Linked DNA regions of Notamacropus eugenii. The protein of the gene in region 1 purifies or fractionates together with the protein of each later gene. This does not show direct contact. Links are inferred from orthologs where the notes say so. Each region holds a gene or a part of one and is shown on either strand. Other genes may lie near its edges. The genes, in order: OGDH and DLST.

What was found.
Region 2: the proteins of OGDH (region 1) and DLST fractionate together in Homo sapiens (co-fractionation; 3 studies listed by BioGRID). This does not show direct contact. The link is inferred for Notamacropus eugenii from reciprocal best matches to the Homo sapiens genes OGDH and DLST.

What each region holds. Positions count from the first base shown.
Region 1 is NC_092872.1:522,887,838-522,898,349, forward strand, and holds the start of OGDH (2-oxoglutarate dehydrogenase complex component E1), read left to right. Parts: upstream 1-5,847; 5' UTR 5,848-6,005; intron 6,006-8,404; exon of another isoform or gene 8,405-8,819; intron 8,820-10,512. UniProt on the Homo sapiens protein: 2-oxoglutarate dehydrogenase (E1o) component of the 2-oxoglutarate dehydrogenase complex (OGDHC). Participates in the first step, rate limiting for the overall conversion of 2-oxoglutarate to succinyl-CoA and CO(2) catalyzed by the whole OGDHC.
Region 2 is NC_092878.1:57,651,139-57,661,177, forward strand, and holds the start of DLST (dihydrolipoyllysine-residue succinyltransferase component of 2-oxoglutarate dehydrogenase complex, mitochondrial), read left to right. Parts: upstream 1-6,215; 5' UTR 6,216-6,914; coding exon 6,915-7,241; intron 7,242-8,144; coding exon 8,145-8,178; intron 8,179-10,039. UniProt on the Homo sapiens protein: Dihydrolipoamide succinyltransferase (E2) component of the 2-oxoglutarate dehydrogenase complex. The 2-oxoglutarate dehydrogenase complex catalyzes the overall conversion of 2-oxoglutarate to succinyl-CoA and CO(2).

The DNA.
Region 1 (10,512 bases):
GGACTCCATCTCTTGCCTTTTTCCTGGCTATCTGCCATGCTTTGAAAGCTCTCCCTTCTCACCTGTGATCCCCAGAATCCCTCACTTCCATCAACACTCAGTTTATGTGCTATCATCTGCTGGTGGCTTTTCCCAGTTTCCCCATCTGCTAGCGCCTTCCTCCCTAAGGCTATCTTTCATCTACTTTTATATGCTCCGTATCTGGAGTAAATATCTAATTATGGGCAGCTAGTGACACACACACACACACACACACACATCCTTTAGAATGCAAGCTCCTTGAGGGAAGAGTATGTTTGCAATTTTTCTTTCAATATCTAACTCTTAGTAGCCTAGCACATAGAAAGTGCTTTATAAATGTTCATGGGCTGACTGTTCAGCAATTTGCTCAAGGTCCAGCAAGTAGTAAGAATCACAGCCAGGATTCAAATCCAGCTTCTCTAACTCCAAATTTAATGTTGTTTCCACTAAGCTGCCTTACTCTGCTACCTTTTCTTCAATAGTAAGTAAGCTTCTTGAGGTCAAGGGTTGTTTTATTTTGGTCATTGTATCCCCAGTGCCTAGTTTGGTGCTTAGCGTGGAGTAGACAGCTCAATATATTATTGTTTGTTGATTAGTTAGGCTGATCTACCTTGGAGCAGGTCTCTGAATGGACAATGTTTTCCAGAATCCAGACAATACTGGCAAATGATAGGAGCTCTTTAAGTCACGATATAGGACTACACCTTTCTTGGAGAGGAAAAATTAAAAACACTATGAGAATATCTTTCTTAATCATCTATATCCTGCCCTAAACAGGGGGATATTCCCCAAAGTTCTGACTTGGGCGTTTCCTTACCTCCCCTCTCTCAGTGATTTTGTCACTTCCTATAAGATCAAATATCATTCCTATGAAGATGTTACTAAAAAAATATACACACATCCATAGTCTCTTCCCTGAGAGAGCCAAATGCCTTTTAACGCATTTAGACTAGGATGTCCTACAGGCATTTCAAAGTCTATGTCCAAACAAAACTCATTATCTTTCCCCCAATCCTACCCCTCTTCTGACTAGAATGTACTCTCTCTTCATATCCACCTCTTTAAAAATTTAATTTGTCCCAAAACTCAGCTCAAACGTCACTCTTCTACCTAGAGTTTTCCCTAGTCCCTCCTTCTACTAGTGCCTTCTTCCCTCAAAATAATCTAGCATTTATATTAAACGTTTCTTATATGTACTTTTATATCTACACCTTTTCTCTCTAATGGAATGTAAACCCCTGAGGACAAGGATTGTTTCATTTTTGTTCCAGTAGTTAGTGCCTAGCATAATGACTGGCACATAATAGGTACTTAATAAATGCTTGATAATTTATTGATTTACCATTATTCCTACCAGCCTTCTACTTGATTCACTATTGAAAAACTATTAGTGAAGTGAGAAAAACATTCCTGATGTTAAGAGTTTAACAAAAACATTTTTATCCAACATTGACCCAAAGGTTTCTTTAGATGTATAATCACATTTTAAGTGACTACATCATTTGTAAATGTTTTGGTTCTTAAAAATAACATGATATACCTGAAAAATACTGCTCATTTAACTTGGAATTTTACAAAAATGTTAATTACCATGTTGTTCAAACAATGAAAAAAATACACATCTTTCTCTTTGTTAGTGTGCTAGAAATGGAATTTTGCACTTCAGGCTTTCTCCTTATATTGCAAGATCCTACAGCACTAGGAGATATCAAAGATCCAAGGACTGGTTCTCAGATTTGCAGAGACAGAAACTCCACTTTATTCCTTCACTTAAGGGCTAACCAAGCTGTGGAGGACCAATATATACTAACAACTCAAGAGACTGACTAATGAAGCTAAAATGCTCATATATTAATGCAGACTAATTAGTGAATGGACCAAAGTATGGCTGGCCGGTGCTTCTTCTTTCCAGCCAGAAAATCTAGCTGGAAAGCACAATTAAAAAAAGTTTGTTAGTACATAAAGTCTGAGTAAAGAGAGTTGGATAGTAATGGATAGTGTCATCAAACTTTAACAGACTGACACAATCAACCATCATCTATTGAGGATCAAATAAGATAATGTGAAAGCCCTTTGAAAACGATGAAGCAATATGCAAATATAAAGTATTCTTTTGCCTTCTTAATGTTTTTAGTGTTCTGGACTTCAAGTGGTTGATTGTCCTCTGTTCTCAAAGAGGACCAAAATGACAGCACTATGTTAGAGTCAAATTACAATGTGTCTGACTGTGCCTGATCAGACCAATATGACCTGGAATTTTCTACCACAGGTCAGGCACAAATAGTCCATGCAAACATTAGGAGTGGGTTCTCTAGATGTGTGCATCTTGAGACTTCAAGTGGTACAAAGTAGGACAATCATTCATCTGTGACTTATTAGTTAAATCTTACAGAGTTGCCTGAGGCACAAAAATTTAGCGACTGCTCAGTGAATGCTTATCTACATATCTTGCAATGACAGGCTGTTTCTATACCCCAGTAGTACTCAACAAGACTATTTTATGCAAATCTGATCAAGGTATTAAGGTGCTATGCAGTTGGCCCCAGGGGAATTACAACCTGTCAGACTCTGGGATATGTGTCTGGGGCATATTTCCCTCATTTGTAAAATAAGTACATCGTGTAAATGGTCTCTAAATGCCTTTTAGTCATTCTCCAGCAGTCTCAGAGATTCTTTCATAAGACAGTAAAGCACTGCCTTTGCTTTTATCTTTTTTATGCACGGGTGGGTGGCATACATAAAAATGAGAAGGAGTCTCATAGGCCTTTAAGGAACTTTCTGGTAAACAAACTCATTGAAACAATTAGAAAAAAATAGGATTGTACATTAAGAGTGGCAAAGGGACCTCAGTGGTCATCTAAATATTCCTCACTCCCCTTCCCGGAGCCAGAATGATAGAAAAGTCAACTGTTACATTTTCAATCAGCAAATTCTACAAATCAGTCCTTAATTTATTATTTTGTGGATTGTTAAGACTTCAGAAAGCTAAGGAGAAAATGTTAATAATGTTAATAGGACCTTTTGGAGAGTCAGTCAGTTGTTAACATATATCAGTATACCTCTCTCCACTGGTTACTAGTACCCTATTTGCTCTAATTGTTTTTTAATCTCTTTTGTTTTTATTTTTCTGTGTTGATGTTATTTACGCCCAGTTGAATGTAAGCTCCTAGAGAACAATCTTTCTTTCCCTTTTTTCTTTCTATCTCCCGAACCTAGCACACAGTAGCTGAGTAATATATCCTTGCTGAATGAATTAATCTAGCAATTTTTCATATGAAACTGAGGCCAAGAGAGATTAATTAGTTGTCACACAGGTGGTAAGTAAATAGTACAGGTGTAATTTGAAACCATGTCCTTTGATTTCAGATCTTAGCATGAATATAGATCTTTACACTGATTAGTATAAGGCACCATAGTTGCCAAAATATATGGAGCCAATAGAGTGCCACGGAAAGAAAGGGCTGATCTCGAAGGGATCTGAAATCAAATGCTGTCTCACTTGCTTGCGTTTATTTGCATTACAATTAAGTTTTTTAAAAGCAAACTTACTGATTTTCTGAGTCAAAAAAAAATTATTCAACTAACCTATATGCTTCTCTAGTCCCTCTTTTATGTCCCCTCCTCTTTGATTTCCTTTTACCTGCTTCCTGTCAGCTGTCTCTGCTTCTACTACTTCAAGCCTCAGAGATTCAGTTCCTCGTTTACAAAATAAGAAGGTTAAACAAAAGACCTGTAAGGTCTTTTCCACCTCTGATACTCTATGGGCCTTTTGAACTTTTTTGACTGCACTCATTTCCAGCTTCTTTGGCTTCTCCAGCTGCACTCATTTAGGACTTTGTTCGCTTTTCCCTCCCAACTTGCGTTCAGCTTTTTTGTATTGTCTTCTTCATAAGACTGTAAGCTCTTTGAGGGCAGGGACTGTCTTTTTTGGTATTTGTATCTCCAGAGCTTAGCACAGTGTCTTGCATACAGTAGGAACTTAATGAATGTTTATTGACTATAGTTTGTAATACTGACTAGAGTTACTGAGGCTTTATGTGGAGGGTGTAGATTATGATTCAAAATACTCATGCTTCCCTGTGTTGACCTGAAAACTTGGTTAAGAAAAGGCAACAGGCTAATTGCATACATTTTATGATTTAATTAATTAATTAATCAATTCCCTATTAAAGATAATGGTAACATAATGCATTATGGAGCCAGAAATGTTCTGGCTACCCAGTGCAGAAATCTTCTGGCTTATATACATTTTGCCGGGAGAAAGGAACTCTCCTAGTTGAACAAATCATAAATTTAGTAAGACAAGACAATTAACAAAGTAATGTTGGTCAGGCCTTGGGATTCCAGCTGGGTAAACATATGTCTCGGTGATAAAGAAGGAAATCCCACCACTAGTAAGTGGCAGGCTTCCTGCCCTAAACAGGTAACTGACACAGGAAAGGGTAAACAATGTTCAATAGAAACCCAGAATGCCTATTTTTTCTTTACCATTAATATCCCATAACGTAGTATGTGTCCATTATTCAAGATATGTCATAGGTTAAAGGTCTCCCAAGGAGTGCAGAGTCAGCTTTGGCTGGCTTTTGCTGACATAGGAAGAGGCATTCTCTGAGTTTGCTTTAGAGAGAACAAAGAGATTATTCCAAAATTTTATATTAAACATTATCACCTGTCAGACAATATTCTTCCTTGGCTATTTTTTCCCCCAGGGCTAAAGTGCAGGGTCCAGAGTCAGGAAGACCTGAGTTCAAATCTGGCCTCAGATACTTACTAACTTCATCAAGTCACTTAACTCTGTTTGCCTCAGTTTCCTCATCTGTAAAACGAGGTAGGGAAGGAATAGCAAACCACTTCAGTAACTTTGCCAAGAAAATTCCATTTGGGGTCAGGAAGAGTTAGATACGACTAAACAACAAAAAGTTTTTGTTGTTATTGTTTAGCCTAGCACAAACAAGTTAAATGATCTAGGTTTCACAAAACTAGTGAGTACACCAAGAATAATTTGAAGCCAGGACTTCCTGAGGTAAAGTCATACCAGAACACCTCTACAACAGCTGTTCTTAACTGTTCATCTGTCATGGATCCCTTTTTGGCATAATGGCAAAGCCTATGGACCCCTTCTCAGAATAATGTTTGTAAATGTATAAAATAAATTACAAAGAATTACAAAGGAAAAAAGTCACATTGAAACAGCATATTCCATATTAAAAAAATAAACTTCAGAATCCCCATGTGAAAGAGGCTGCTGCTCTCTAACCTACACGTACTTATTCCTATTATCTCATGAAAACATTAATATTTCACTAATCCAATCAAGCGACTGGTGGATAAATGCTTGCTGAACTGAATTTAACTAAGTAATTATTCCATCTCAGATGAGGTTCCAGCCCCAGCTGTCAACATCTAAGGAAAGGCAGGGCCCTAGAAACGATGACTAAGCGCTGTGTGACCCGTGCGGAAAGAGTCGAGAACCCACGTGCGGGCGGGGGCCCCAGGTGCCTCCCTGCTTGGCCCCATCTTTTCTACCGCCTTCTCCGCGCTGCGCTCCAGGGTCTGCGCGCGAGTCCAGCACGCGCGCCCTTCCACTGTCACAACATTCCATTGGCCCTGGACGCCGCAGAGACGCGGAACACTGTGACGTCACAACTCGGGCACAGTGGTCCCTATCTCTAGAGGGGGCGTCCCGGGTTAGGCCTCACAAGCGACAGCGGGCCCAAGGGAGGAAGGTCCTCCCGAGAGGCAGCTGTCCGGTTTCACGCGCCGGGAGTCCAGAACTCGGGGGTGGCACAAATGCATAAACTAGACGAGTTAGGAAACTGAGAGCCCAAGGGCGGTGTTTCACCTTCTCCAGGCTCAGAGGGGGCGGGACAGGCTGCGTGGTGACGTAACACGCCGGGCGGGAGGGGGCGGGGCGAAGGCACTGGTGTTGCCGAGTGTGGGGGAGTCGGTACCTCATTCCCGGGTGGAGCCGGAGTCGGAAACAGGTAACTCCTTTGCTCCTTCTGTTTGTTTGTCTGGGACCGGGGCTAGGTCCAGGACTGGGGCTTTTGCTCCGTGGGCTATAGGGGCGGGATAGCTACGAACAAGAAGCACGGACATCGTGTCCTTGCAGCCGCCGCCCGGGTGACTTGGCCGGCCCTCTGGAGGGGGAGGGGGTTTGGGACTAGGGGGTGGGGGGGAGAGAGAACGGGGTAGGGAGGAGAGTCAGAACCAGGATGAGGCTGAGGGGAGACGGGTGGGGATGAGAGAATTCTGAAAGACTTTCTCTGGAGCCAATGGGCAAGGCTGGAGCGGTTTGCGGGCGAAGATTGGCGGCTGCCGGCGCGCGCTGCGGGTGCCGCGCGGGCGCGGCGAGGATTCTTATTGGTGGCCTGGGATGAGGGGGAGGGGTTACTTCGGCGGGCGGATGTGAGGGAACCAGTTGCTGCCTCCTCTCCCGTGACCCACAAGGTCGAGGGGAGAACATCACGTGGGCATTGGAAAGGAGGTGATCTTGTCCGGACACCTCGTCCCGTTTGTCCCTTCCTATTCTAAGTCGGGTCTGAGCCACTCCCACCCCCATCCCTCCAATCCTGGGCACGCCCTACTGCTCCTTCGAGTGTGTGGCTGCCTTGGGAGTAGAACTCGCCCTCCCTTTTGCCGGGGGACCCGCCCCGCCCCGCCCCGTCCCGCCCGGGAGTCCCGCCCACCTGGCTGTCCAGCCCGGCTGGAGAGCGGCCGGCGGAGCCCTGGGTGGGACGTTGTAGCCGCCTTCTTGTCTTGTTTGTGCCTGGGTCTGGCAGAGCCGGAGTCCCCTAGTGGAACCTGCGTCTTGGATGTGCATTTCCGCTCGGACTCTCGGTTCCTTAGATTTCGGGGCTAAGGGAGGTCCTGGAGGAGACTGGAGGCGTTTTTACAACCACACAGTTACTTTTTTAAAGCCTATTAGTTTTCTCTAAAAACTAGGGAAGGAGCAGGGCCCTTGAAGGGGCAGACTCATCAAGGACTTTATTTTTTGACCTCTCATTTCCGACCTTGCTATATTCCCCCTCAGTTATCTTTCCTTAAGAGACTTACGATATTATCTGCTTCTCTTTCCAAACCTCTGGGAATGAGAAAAATAGTAGTTACAAAGTACTTTTAAACTAGTGTATGAAGTTTAACAGACCTAAGCTGAGTGGCACCTTTCCATAGAGCCTGCTTGTTCTAGCAAGAATATCTTTGTGACAAAGTAACACTTAAAATGTTAGAAGGTTGGCCAGTTGATGACCTTTCAGACAAGGCTGTGAGGCAATAGAAAGACTTAAGATTTTGAAAGAAGAGGATGTAGGTTTGAATCCAGGCTCTTCCACATGCTAACTATGTGTGACCTTGGAAAAAATAATTTCACTTTTTCTCATTTTCTTTTTTTTATGTAGAGGATAACGTGCTTTCCCCCCAATTTTTTAACATTTTTGTTTAAATTTTTGAGTTCCAAAATCTTTCCCCCTCACTTCCTCCCCTCCCCCCTTCCTGAGACAGTAAGCAGTCAAATATAGGCTATCCACGTGCAATTATGCAAAACATTTTCATATTAGTCACTTTGTACAAGAAGATTCAAATAAAAGAAAAACATGAAAGTGAAAAATAGCATGCTTCATTTAGTATGTATTCAGTCAATATCAGTTCTTTCTCTGGAGGCATATTATGTGCCATCATTAGTCCTTTGGGATTGTCTTGGATGGTTGTATTGCTGAGAATAGCTAAGTCACAGTTCTTTGTGGAAAGTGTTAGTGTGTATAATGTTCTCCTGGTTCTGTTCACTTCATTATGCATCCAGTTCACAGTTTACAGGTTTTTCTGAAATCATCCTGCTTGTCATTTCTTAAAGCACAGTAATACTCCTATAATGGAGTCATATACCACAGTTTGTTTAGCCATTCCCCAATTGATGGGCATCCCTTTGATTTCCAGTTCTTAGCCATCACCAAAAGAACTGCTATAAATAGGTCCTTTTCCTTTTTTTTGAATGTCTTTTCCCCATCCTCATTTTCTTGAAAGGTTAGGTAGCAGATGACCACCTCTAAGGTCCCTTCCAACCCTCCATCTCTGATCCTAAAGGAAGAAGGGGATTTGTAGCTTCTCTAATCCACGATCTTTGACAATTCCCTTAACTCCCTGTTCTTCACTTAGGAGTCTCATTTATTCACACTTTCCAGAAGTTCAGTAAAGTGTTTTTAAATTAGTAATAGGGAAATAAAGTGAATTATCAAAGGTCTGCAACATGACTAACCAAGCCCTCAGAATCTTATTAATGAAACTTTTTTTTTATCTTTTAAAGGAAAACAGTTTTGCCAAACTCACCTTGTCTGCTACTCCAGTCCATCTTTTCTGACCCCACTTTCTTTTCATTGCCTTTTGCCAGCTTCCTATCTAGAACTGAGAAAGGGAGAGATGGCAAACTTCATCTACTTCACTAGGCCACAAGAGGTACTATCTCAGGAAGGAACTTCCTTGGTGCTGGCCTCATCTGTACCTTCAGTAATTGTGGCCACTTTTCCAGTTCTCTGAGTAGGCTTTCTTTGACCTCAGCAGCCAGAGTAACCTTAAGTAACAGTGAGTATCTTGGTCTCAGGCCACATGCTTCTATTTAAAGTTGCTTGATCTCTGAAAATCAACTGAGAACTGCAGAGAACTGCTTTAGCTTCTCCAGGATGGAAGACTGTCTTCCCAGTGTTGGAGTTATCCTGCATACCCCAGGATGCCCTTTGCCTTTTGTCAACCCAGTTGATTGTCCAGTTGCTTGGATCCTATTTTAGGTACCTGTTTTGATTTATCAGGTAACTGTCACATTACTTATATTTGTTTTCCCAATTTTTTTTTTTATTCTGAACTTAAGAAACACCCCACAAAATGAACATTACTATATACAAAGTGGAACAGAAAAAGGGAATTATATGTGAAACCACAAATCTCTACTGCATAAATTTCAAAGTTTCTATTCAGCTCTAGTATTTTCATCAGGAATACTTGGGAGTATTCTCTTTCAAAAGTCCATCTTTTCCCCTGTAGCTTAATTTTTTATTTTTAAATTAATTTTTAAATCAGTGAAAATCCACCTCCTCTTCCTCCCATATCCCAGTCTCCATTGGGGGGGAAAAAACCCGGAAATCTCAGTTACAAATGTTATTTATTTTTGTTTACTGCTTTCCTAGCCTGAGGCAGCTGGATGGCTAAGCCTGGAGGCAAAATAAAAAAAATCAGTCAATAAGCATTTATTAAATACCTACCATGCACCAAGTTTTTTGCTAAGTCTTAGAGATACAAAGAGGCAAATGACAGACCTAATCCTTGAGGAGCTCACAATCTTATGAGGAATACATCAAACAAACACATATATACAGGATAAATAGGAAATAATTAGCAAAACGACTGCACTAGAATTAAGGAGAAGTTGGGAGAAGCTTCCTGTGGAAGGTAGGATTTTAGTTGGACCTTAAAGGAAGCCAGGGGAAGCAATAGGCTGAGAATGTTTCAAGAACTGAGTTCAAATGCAGCCTGGCACTAGCTGTGTGACTGACAAATCACTTAACCTCTCTTGCTTAGTTTCCCCAATTGTAAAAGAGGATAATAATAGGACCTACTTTCAAGGGTTGTGAGGATCACATAAAATAATATTTGTAAAGTTCCTGAAACATAGTAGCTGCTTTAAAAACATGCTCATTTCTTTTTTTCCTTCATTTTCACTTACATTCATTCTTGTGAAAGTAATTTGGTGTATTACTCTTAACTTGGTCATTACTCTTGAATGTTAATCCTTCCCATTTAAGAATTCAAATTTTATTAAAAGGCGCTATTGGTGAATCTAAATTTGGTATTTTTGTATTGGCTCAATTGCCTAGTATTTTCTTATTTTGTCTCTGATGATATAGTGTTGTCTGGATTCTATGTTCCCGTCCTCACTAATTCTCCTGGTTTTCTCTAGCTATACCCCATTCCTAGAATGTTCTTCTTCATTTCCACCTCCTAGCTTCCCTGACTTCTTTGAAGTTGCTAAAATCCCACCTTCTCTAGGAAGCCATTCCTGATCCCTCTTAATTCTAGTGCCTTTCCTTTGTTGATTATTTCATTTTTATCTTGTATATGGCTTGTTTATACATAATTATTTGGTATTTCCTCCATTAGACTGTGAGCTCCTCAAGGACATGGACTGTATTTTTCCTCTTTTTGTATCTCCAGTGCTTCACACAGTACCTGTCGTGTAGTAGACACTTACTAAATGTTTATTGACTGACTGATTGACTTTTTTGCTAATTCCTTTACCCCTTCCCCCACTCTTAAAGGTTCAGTATCTTACCTTGTATTTACTGGCTCCTTGCTAGGGATCAGTAACCTTTCAAAAAAGTATGTCCCAACATCAACCTCTTTTCTGGTGGCCTGCCCAGTGAGGGAGGGGAGGGTACAGAGGATAAGGCATATAATATGATGGTACAGGGCAGGAAGAGGTTGTTGATTATCTTTTCTTTGAATGTG
Region 2 (10,039 bases), on another chromosome or scaffold:
ATGAGGTCATGAAGAGTCAGACACTACTGAAATAACTGAATCACAAACTTACCATTTCTTTGGAGAGAGCAGTTTTAGTTGAGTGATGAGACCAGAAACCAGACTGAGAAGTCCATACTTCTCTTGAGTAGAGGAAGTAGAAGCAAAGAATCGCAGAAGGCAAGGACCATGATTTATTTGTGTTCATATCTTCCCTAGCTCCTAACACTATGCATTAGATGTAGCAGGCACTTAGTATTTGTTGAACTGAAAGGAAATCCTTGAAAATACAGGCATTCTCTAGATACTACAAATGGTATGGTTCCCACAATATTCCAGAAAGGGTATGGATCTTTTTATTCCTAAGAGGGGGAAAAAATTGTCACGGAAACCAGTCACCTGTGTGACTATTGGACAGAAAGCATAATTTTCTGACACAAAAGATCTGACCATACATCAGGATATAAGGACAAATTATAGCTCTTCTCCAGTGCATATAACCACAGGGCAAGAAGGGTTTAGAATATATGAGTCTTGTCATTCATTATCAGCAAAACCTTCATCTCTGAGCATTTAAAACCAAAGATACAAAAAACCATTTCCTTTCACCAACTTTTGTTGTTGGACTGGATTGATTCCCTGAACAACATGAAAGTGGCATCCTCAAAAACCACATTTCAACCACTAGCACAGAATGGTCGGGACTCATGAACAAGCTGCAAGTCAGCATTGAGCTTCCCTTGACAGCAGATGCAAAACACCAATGAAATGGAATGACAGACACTCACGGAGTGTGAGAGATGCTAAATGGGCAATCTCCTTTTGTCTGACTGAGGGTAAAGATATTAAACCACAGCTGCTGCAGCCCATAGAAAGTTAGACTGTGGTAGCTACAGTAGCACCATCAAGAAAGAACTCCCAGCAAGCCACTTCCCTGCAAGGGTGTAATTAAGTAGTCTACTGTTGCCAAAGTGATTCCAAAGGAGAAAGCCAACATCACGAGAAGTGTGAGAACCTCTAGTGACTGGAAGATACTTGTGTTCCTGAGTGCGTGGGTTTTTAAGAAATAGGAAGGACTCTTCTGGATTTAAATTTAGAAACAAACTAAAATGACAAGATACTTTGAGGTCTTTGGATAAAAGGTAACATCTGTTGTTATTTTTTGTTATCCTAATCATTCAGCAAGTATTTCTTAAGTACCTGCTGTGCACAGGTCCTGTGCGGAGTCTGTACGGCAATCCTTAATATCATCATCCTCATCATTTACAGACCAGCCCAAGTTCGTCCAAGATTCAGGTCCTAGAGCACTCAAGATTCCCAGAGCCTTTTCCATCCTTATCCCTAATTCTGAAGTTATACAACGTGTAATTATATAATCTTGTTCATTTCAATGACACATCAGCAGTCAGGAACTCCTTGGCTTCCTCAAACTTGTCTGAAATGAGTTGCTTTGAAGGTTTTTTATAGGAGCAGAGAATTTATATTTAGAGTTGGAAAAGGTCTTAGAGGATGTCAAGTGTCTGGTATCTTTATTTTATAGCTGTGGAAACTGAGACAGACAGGTTAAGAAACATGTCCAAGGTAACGCAGTTAGTAAGTGTTTGAAGTCAGGTTATCCTTCAAAGTCCAGTGTTCACTCCACTTTACCATACTATCTCCTTAACCTCTCTGTGGAATCTCTGACTCTATAGAGTCAGAAAATGAGAATTCTAGCCTTAGTCTCCTCAACCTATAAAATGGGAATATTATTATTTGCCCATACGCATACTCATGCCACCTCAATCCCCTCATTTTAAGTACCTCGAAGTGTTATTGTGAGGATACAAAAGTGCTAAGTGTAAGAGGTTATTATTACTTACCCAAGAAGTACATCCAAACAATCCGGTTCCTGGTAACTTCGAGTCGGGGGAACATTTCCCCTCAAAGGTGGGTAGATAGAGAGATGTCTTGAGGCTACAAAACTCCCCACGAATATTTGCAGAAAAATAAACTTTGGCAGGTATTGCCCTCTGTTTTCCCCCACAGTAAAGTCCTTTTACCGAGGCTGTGATGAATTGGGATGCTACCTGCTGATGGCTCCAGGGTGTGGTAGGCAGGCTGAAAGGCAGGGCCCACTGGCTCTCCCTTTGGCATTGAAAGCCCTTACAGAAGGCAAGGCAAGGGAGACTGTTCCAAAGCAGCCAACCAGCTGTGGGGACCTTATGAATATGCAAATTAAGTACAGTTTAGTGCAAATTGGGCTTTCTTTCCCCAGCATATGGCTGTGTTGCTCAGGAGCCAACAAAGCTCAGCTTAATTCAATTCAATATAACAGCCTGAAAAAGTGGCTTTCTCTTCCTTTCCCAAAACCCCAGAAGTCTCTTTAGAGCAGAATACACTCATTTTATAGATGAAAAACTAAGGACCAGTAAAGATAAATGGTTTGTCCCTGGTCACCCAGGTATTAAGTAGCAGGTCTGAGATTTGGAAGGAGGTTCTCTGATTCCAAATTCCACCATACCACGCTTATCTGAGAGAAATGTAGATGAGCCCCATCTATTGATCCAATGAATAGAAGTTCTTTGAAGACGTGTGTGGGCTATTTCACTTGTGTCTTTGAATTCCCAGAACCTAGCATGGGGCCTGGCACATGGTAGCGGCTTAATAAATGCTTGCTGATTGACTGATTGATGACATCAAGTGGAGCTCTGGGCCCTGACTTCAGAAGACCTAGACAAATCCTCTCCAAAATGAAAACCCTGTCTTCTCTTCCCTTCAGTGTCCTGGCTGGAGGCTTTAGAAACCTATCCCTGAGCAAAATACCTCATTTCAACTTTTTGGAAAAGACCAGGTGCTATGATTTCCAGAATCCAGCTCTCTGAATGAGAGAGGGTGGAGACACCAGCTAAGCAGAGGAATAAGAACAAAAAAGAATGATGAGGGATTTTGGGTGGGGGGGGGGGCGCAGAATTAGGGAAAAGCTTTTTGTAATATTTATAACCAAAGTTTCCTCAGCTTTACCATCCTCTCCCTCTGTGACTTAAAAAGGAAAATAAGTAATAGAGGTTGCACAATGTCTTTGAGTTGTGGTACAATACTTATCACAAATTCCCTTGCAGTAGATCATGTCTTTATGAAAACAGAAACTTTATAACTGAATGGTAGCCATGAAGTATGGAGCCTCTTTGTATCCCTAGAAAGTTTGTGTAGGGGTGTGTTTGTGTAGATACCAATGTGTCCATAGAACATATTTGCCACATCGCAGGCTTACTTGTTTAAGGCTCATGATCAAAATCCTTAGCGGAAAAAAGTACAAAAATCTCCTAGGGAATTAAGTAGATGACAAACCAATATTTTGTTGTTGTTTAGTCGCTTACAGTCGTGTCCAACTTTTTGTAACCCCATTTGGGGTTTTCTTGGCAGAGATAGTAAAGTGGTTTTCCATTTTCTTCTCCAACTCATTTTACAGATAAACTGAAGCAAACGGTTAAGTGACTTGTCCAGGGTCACACAGCTAGCAAGTGTCTGAAGCCAGATTTGAACTCAAGAAGATGAGTCTTCCTGATTGCAGGACCAGCACTCTTATCTACTGCACCATTTAGCTGCCCCCAACCAATATTAATAGCAATAAAGATAAAGAATGAGTAGTTTATTGGAAGGAGAATAGGAAAAAGAGACAGGAATTCTAAATTCTAGTCTCAGCTCCACTGACTGTGACCTTGGGAAAGTCAGTTGATCTCGCTAGTCAAATGAGGCGGAGGGATTACTAACTGATCTCTCGGATCTCTTCTATCCCTAATAATCTGTTGGAATAATCTAAATTATTGTGATTCCTGACTATTGTTCTTTGGGCCTTTAGATAGGTCTGGTGCTGTTCTAAGTATGGTTGGTATTTATGGATTGTTCCTCCATAAGCTAAGAGTTTCTCAGGAGCCATTCTACCTTTCCCCACAGAATCTCATTAGTAGGCTTGTGATTTCAGGAAATAGCAAGCAAGATAAAGACCTGGAAGACTAGATAGTGTCAGTGAATCAACTGATCTAGTATCTGGTAAGCCCTGCTATGTGCCGGCCACTGTTCTACATGAACTGACACTAAATGAAACAACTTTAGCCAAAAAGTCAGTGTTATTAGTCAATAAACCTAAATTTAATAAATTTATTCATTAATAAATAATGAATAAAACTTCATTAATTCAATAAACATTCATTCATTCAATAATATTTATTAAGTGCCCAGATGGGACCCAAAGGAACGCTTTTCTATGCAGACGCAGATAAGAAATTGAAGATGTAGGGCCTATATCAACAGAAGTGGTTTAATGAAGGACCGCAAAATATCCTTTCTGAGAGAACCCTCATCTTCCCCTTGATTCCTTAGGCACAACTTAAGCAGTTCAAATCCCATGTGTGCTGACTACTGTTGAGTAATTATAATAGGACCTGTGTGCTGGTCCTTTGCCACTTATTCCAGACCATTCAAAAAATAGCATCCTTTCTTCCTTCCTCCATGCCTTAAAAAAAAAAAAAAAAAAGAAAGAAAACAAAAAACCTGTTCTGCTTTCAGATTTTTTTTTCCCCCTGTTTCTTTTGGTTATAACTACCATCCTTCCAGTCACCCAATTTCAAAACCTACCCCAGACCATTGTTATTGATTCTATCTTTGCCATGTTTCTCAAGTTTGTCCCTTGTTTCCCATTCCCATTGCTGCCACTTTGGAACAAGTGTTTATTATCTCCTGCCTCTATTGCATTATCTCCTTCCTCCTCTTTGTATCTGCAGTGCCAAGCACAGGGTCTCACACATAGTAAACCCTTAATGTGTGTGTTCATCCGTCGTTGCCAAAGAAGACCATGCCATCAGAGAAATGATGACATGATTTGCACTTGACTTTGTTTTGAGTGAGGGAAGGCTGTGCAGGTCACCAGCCTCACTTCTCCTCCAGAGCCATCTGAATCCAGTGCCCAGATATTCATCAGGATGACTGAAGATGACCTAGGATGAGGTAATTGGGGTCAAGTGACTTGCCCAAGGTCATACAGCTAGTGAATGTCAAGTCTCTGAGGTGAGATTTGAACTCAGGTCCCCCTGATTCCTGCTCTGGTGCTCTATCCACTGCACCACCTAGCTGTCCCCCAGTAAACCCTTAATAAATGCTTGTTGAATGAATGGTTGATCTCCCTGCCTCCACTTTCTCCTCACTTCAGTTCATCCTGTGTACCCCTACTAGGTTAATCTTTTAAAAGTATCACTTTGATCATGCTCAGAAACCTTGAATGGCATTCCATGGTCTTCCAGAATAAAGGTGGAACACCTTTAAATGGCATCCAAGAACCTCCATTGTTGTTCAGTTGTTCAGTCATGTCTTCATGACTCCATACTGTCCATGGGGTTTTCTTGGCAAAGATACTGGAGCGGTTTGCCTCCAACTCATTTTACAGATAAAGCAACTGAGGCAGACAGAGTTAAATGACTTGCCCAAGGTCACATAGCTAGTAAGCGTCTGATGGCATATTTGAACTCAGGTCTTTCTGACTTCCTGAGACCAGATCTATATCCACTGAGCCATCTAACTGCCTTTTCTAGTCAAACTAGTCTATTATTACTCTTCTACACATTGAACATTGCCAGCTCTGTACGTTTTCTTGCAGTTTTCCTCATTCAGAATGCCTTGTCTCTTCCTGTCCACTTACCTCTCCTTCTTTCAATGCTCAACTCAAACTTCACTGCCTTTGTGAAGTATGCATTAGTTACCTCTACCTTGATCACAGTTATTAATTTCCCTTTTCCTCCTTGAACAATTCTTGTTTGTATCATCACTCGCTGCCTTGCATTGTCTATTATACATTATCTAGTATCGTCCTCAGCTCATAGCACACTTTTTATTCCCCCAACTAGACTTTAAGGGCCATGTGGCCCTTAAACTGTCATACATTGCATTTCCTACTTAGCATAATATCATGAAAGTATTTGATAAATGTTGAATAACATAGTCTGAAGATAAGCAATGACCTACGGCTTTCTATAAGGTAGATGTACCTCTGACTTTTGAGTAGGGCTAGATTAAAAACAAGTTTATGATAAACTATAAATATATTTCTAAGCTGACTCATTCAACATGAAATCCTTTCATCCAGTGGACTCATCATCACCAGTAAGTATTTCTAGAGTGCAACGCTGTCCTAGATACTCTGTATATTAAGAGGCATATGCCAATGTCCCTATTCTCAAAGGGATTGACAATCTAGTTCATTCAATTTTAAAGTAACATATGTGAGATTTTATTCTAGATAGAATAATTCGTTCTGTTGTTGTGACCAGCTCTCATCCTGAACTCTCCTGCCTCAGTGTAGTGCACTTTCTTTGTATCTCCAGCACTTGGCAGGGAGCCTGGCACATAAGTGACTTCTAGTCCATGTGTGATGTACGTTCCACGTTGGTGGCCTTGACTTGAGAGCTGCTACAGGAGTTCAGAGAAGGGCTGGAGTAGTTGAGGAGTGCCTTCATCGGAAAGGTAGCCTTGGAAAGTCAGGGTTTAGTTAAGCAGACAGCAGGTGAGAAGGAAAGGAGCCCAGTTCCTCCGTGGGATGTACAACAATGGGGAGCCTCTGATTAAAGCGGAGGGGTTTGTGGAGGGAGCTGAGCAGAGGGTTACCCTTCATGTTAACACCGATTAACCCCTGCTGTGCGCAGAGCTGTAACGCGTGCTGGGGGAGGTAGACCGCTGATTCAGGGGCTGTGCCCCCCTGGAGCTAACGGGGTGGCGGGAGGGAAGACGGGCACAGGCAGCTCTGCCAGCTTGTGTACCCCCCGTCCCCTTGAGGGCCCCCAGGAGGCTGCCTTGGGGTGGCTCCGGTGAGAGGGCGAGGGGAAGGAGGGCGTGATCTATTCGGACGCTGCGCTAAGACGGTATCGCGGTTCTATTGGCCATCCGTATCAGTTATCCGTAAAACGTTTATGAAGCGCCCCGTAGAGGTCCCTAGGGAAGTTAAAGGAGGGCATGCGGCACGGTGCCCGCCCTCGATGGCCGGACGGAGGAGAAGGGTCCTCGGGCAGGCTCGGCCTCGGCCGCTCGGGGGCCTTCCCCCGCGAAGGGCTGCGATGGTAGAGCCCTGGCCTCCCCTCCTCCTCGCTCACGTGGCACCGCCCGCCGCGCTTCCGGCTGTTGCCGGGCCCTATATCCGGTGTCCGCCCGCTCTAGGCTCGGCTTCCCGGATCGCGATGCTGTCCCGGTCGCGCTGCGTGTCCCGGGCGTTCAGCCGCTCGCTCGTCGCCTTCCAGAAGGTAGGCACCGGGCCAGGGGCGAGCCGGAGCCGAGAGCGCGCGTTCGGGCCCGGCAGGCCCACGGAGGCCGCAGGGCAGGGCGGGGCGGGGCGGAGCAGGCTGCGGGGCTGGCCCGGGCACCAAGGGCACCGGGACGAGGAGGCCGAGGGGGAGGCCGAAGCCGCGGCCCTGAGAGGCAGCAGGCGGGGTGCGGGGCCTCGCGTCCCGCCTCCTCCCCGGGGCGGGCGTGGGGCTGTGCCGCGCCCCCGGCCGGGCCTCCTTCCGCTGCGCCCCAGGAAGCGTGGGATGGTCCCGGAGGTCAGGCTGCTGTCCTGCTCGTGACCTTTAGAAAGAGGGCGGCCCCCCGGATCCCCGGTCGACCGGGACGGAAGGTCAGGGCCCGCGTCCGCCTTGTGCGGTTAGTCACGTCCCCCGGACTCCGCGGGGGCAGGCTCGCGGTGTCCCCGCCCCCGTGACCCGCACGCCCTGCGGGCCCATCCCCAGAGGATGATGAGAAGTGCGGGACTCGGGTGTTTGGGGAGGGGGGCGCGGAGAATGCTTCTCCCCGAAGCTCCGAGGACCGGGGAACGAGTCCCACCTTCGGGGAGTGAAGGGGACTTTTATTTTTTAACATTTTGGAAAAAGCCGCTCTTCAGCAAACGGCGTTATGGCGGGGTGAGGGCCTTGGTTCAGGCCCCCTGCCTGGCAGGGGCTGACCTGGGGACCCCTGCAGGGAGGGGAGCTTCAGGGCTCTGGGCTCCATCCTTTCCACTTTAAGCTCCTCACACTCTTGGCCCTTGTAAGCCTCTTTTTTTTCTTTTTTAAAACTACAGGAGTATTGGGATAGTTACGTGGGTGGGTGAGGAGGAGGAATTTTTCCTCTCATCTCTTGGGAAATTCTGGTAATGCTTTCTCTCTCCACAGGGGAACTGTCCTTTAGGGAGGCGGTCTTTACCTGGTAAGTTTTGCCCTTCCTCGTAACAGCAGTCTGTCTGTAAATCCAGGTGCTCGACGTATTAGGTTGAAGGATACATGAGCTTATTGAGAATTATTGTCAGCAAACATTTCGTCTATTATAGGATGGAAAATGAAATATTGAAGTGAAAGGATGTGTTGTGGAATGAACTGGAAATGTGTCTTGGTCCCTGTGGGTTCTTTAAGGCTAATTCCAGAAGGTTTCAAAGGAAGGGATGGCTTTAGGATCATACGTAAATTCGGCATTTTTCAGTCATTCAAGCTGTTCTACCATGTGCTTATTATAGAGAATGTAGGCATACAGAATCTGTATCTTTAGGGGATAGCTGAGTTACTGCATTTTCACCCTCTTGTTGAATTTGTAGAGAGCTAGCATGAATTGAAGACATCTCATTTTAGGGTCTTCTCCTCAGCCATGACAGAAAGTAAAATGTTAATAGACTGAAAAACAGGAAAGACTAAATGATAATAACACAGGAATAATATGTCAGTGGAAGGAAGACTTTGGAATAGAATGTCTCTGCTTTTAAAAAATGTCCCCCCCCCCCCAAAAAACAATCGTAAAATAAAAACAAAGAACAATGAAAAACACAGTCCCAGACCCTATAAACATGAGAAAACAGTTGGGAATAACGGCACATATGTAGGTATCTTTCTATTATTTACTAATTTTGTAAAAGAAATCAAGACCCATGTATGGGTTGTGCAGGACAACACCTCTGCCTCTGTCTGCTGTTGTCTTCCTTTGTTTAGTTGGCTGGCATATACTGTTCTTTGGGTTCTGCTTTTTTTATTCTGCCTTACTTCACGAAAAGATCTCATTCTAAGATATAAGGAACTGAGTTCAGTTTATAAGAAAAAAAACATTCCCCAGTTGGTAAAAGGTCAAAGAATATGAATAGGCAGTTTCAGGGGAAGAAATTCAGGCTGTCAGTAATCTTATGAAAAAATAATCTAAATCGCGTATAATTAGAGAAATACAAATTAAAGCAATTCTGAGGTACCACTTTGAACCCATCATATTGCCTACGATGATGAAAAAGGAAAATGATGTGCTGGACAGACTGTGGAAAACAGATATCCTAATGCACTTGTTCGTGGAGCTGTGAACTACTCCAGCCCTTCTGGAAAGCAATTCAGAATTATGCCCCCCAAAGCTGTTTAATTACACATGTCCTTTGGCCCACCAATACTATACTAACTTAAGGGGATGTTTTTAGAAATAGCTGGGAAGATGTGTATGAACATCATGATAGAAAGTGAGGTAAACAGAGCCAGCGGAACACTTTGTTCAATAACAGCAATGTTGGAAAGATAATCAGTTTTGAAAGATTTAGTAATTGAACACAACAATGACCAACCACAATTCTAAAGAACTCATGATGAAACCATGGCCCTAACCACTTCCATATGGAAAGCTGATGGGGCTCAGAGTACAAATCAAAACATTTCTCTTTTTGGCCATGGCTAACTCTGGAATTTGTTTTGCATGACTATTCATTTTTGTAATGTCTGTTTCTTCTGCCTTCTCAGTGGGTGGAGAGAATTTGGAACTGAAAATAAAAGCAGAAGAAAGTAATGCTGCTGAAGCACATTAACTTCTGATAGGGGTGATGAATTCAAGGGTGCTGAATGAGACATCCATTTTCAGACATGGCCTGTGTGGGGATTTGTTTTGTTTGTCTGTGCATATCTGAAGAAGAGATTTTATTTTTTTCTCACTTTTGGGGGGAAAAGGGGATAGGATGATACCAGACTGAAAAAAAAAAATGGGTTATCAGAGTATTATAAAAAGTGAATAGAGAGCCGGAACTAAGGTCAGTAGGAAATACATAAGGAGTACA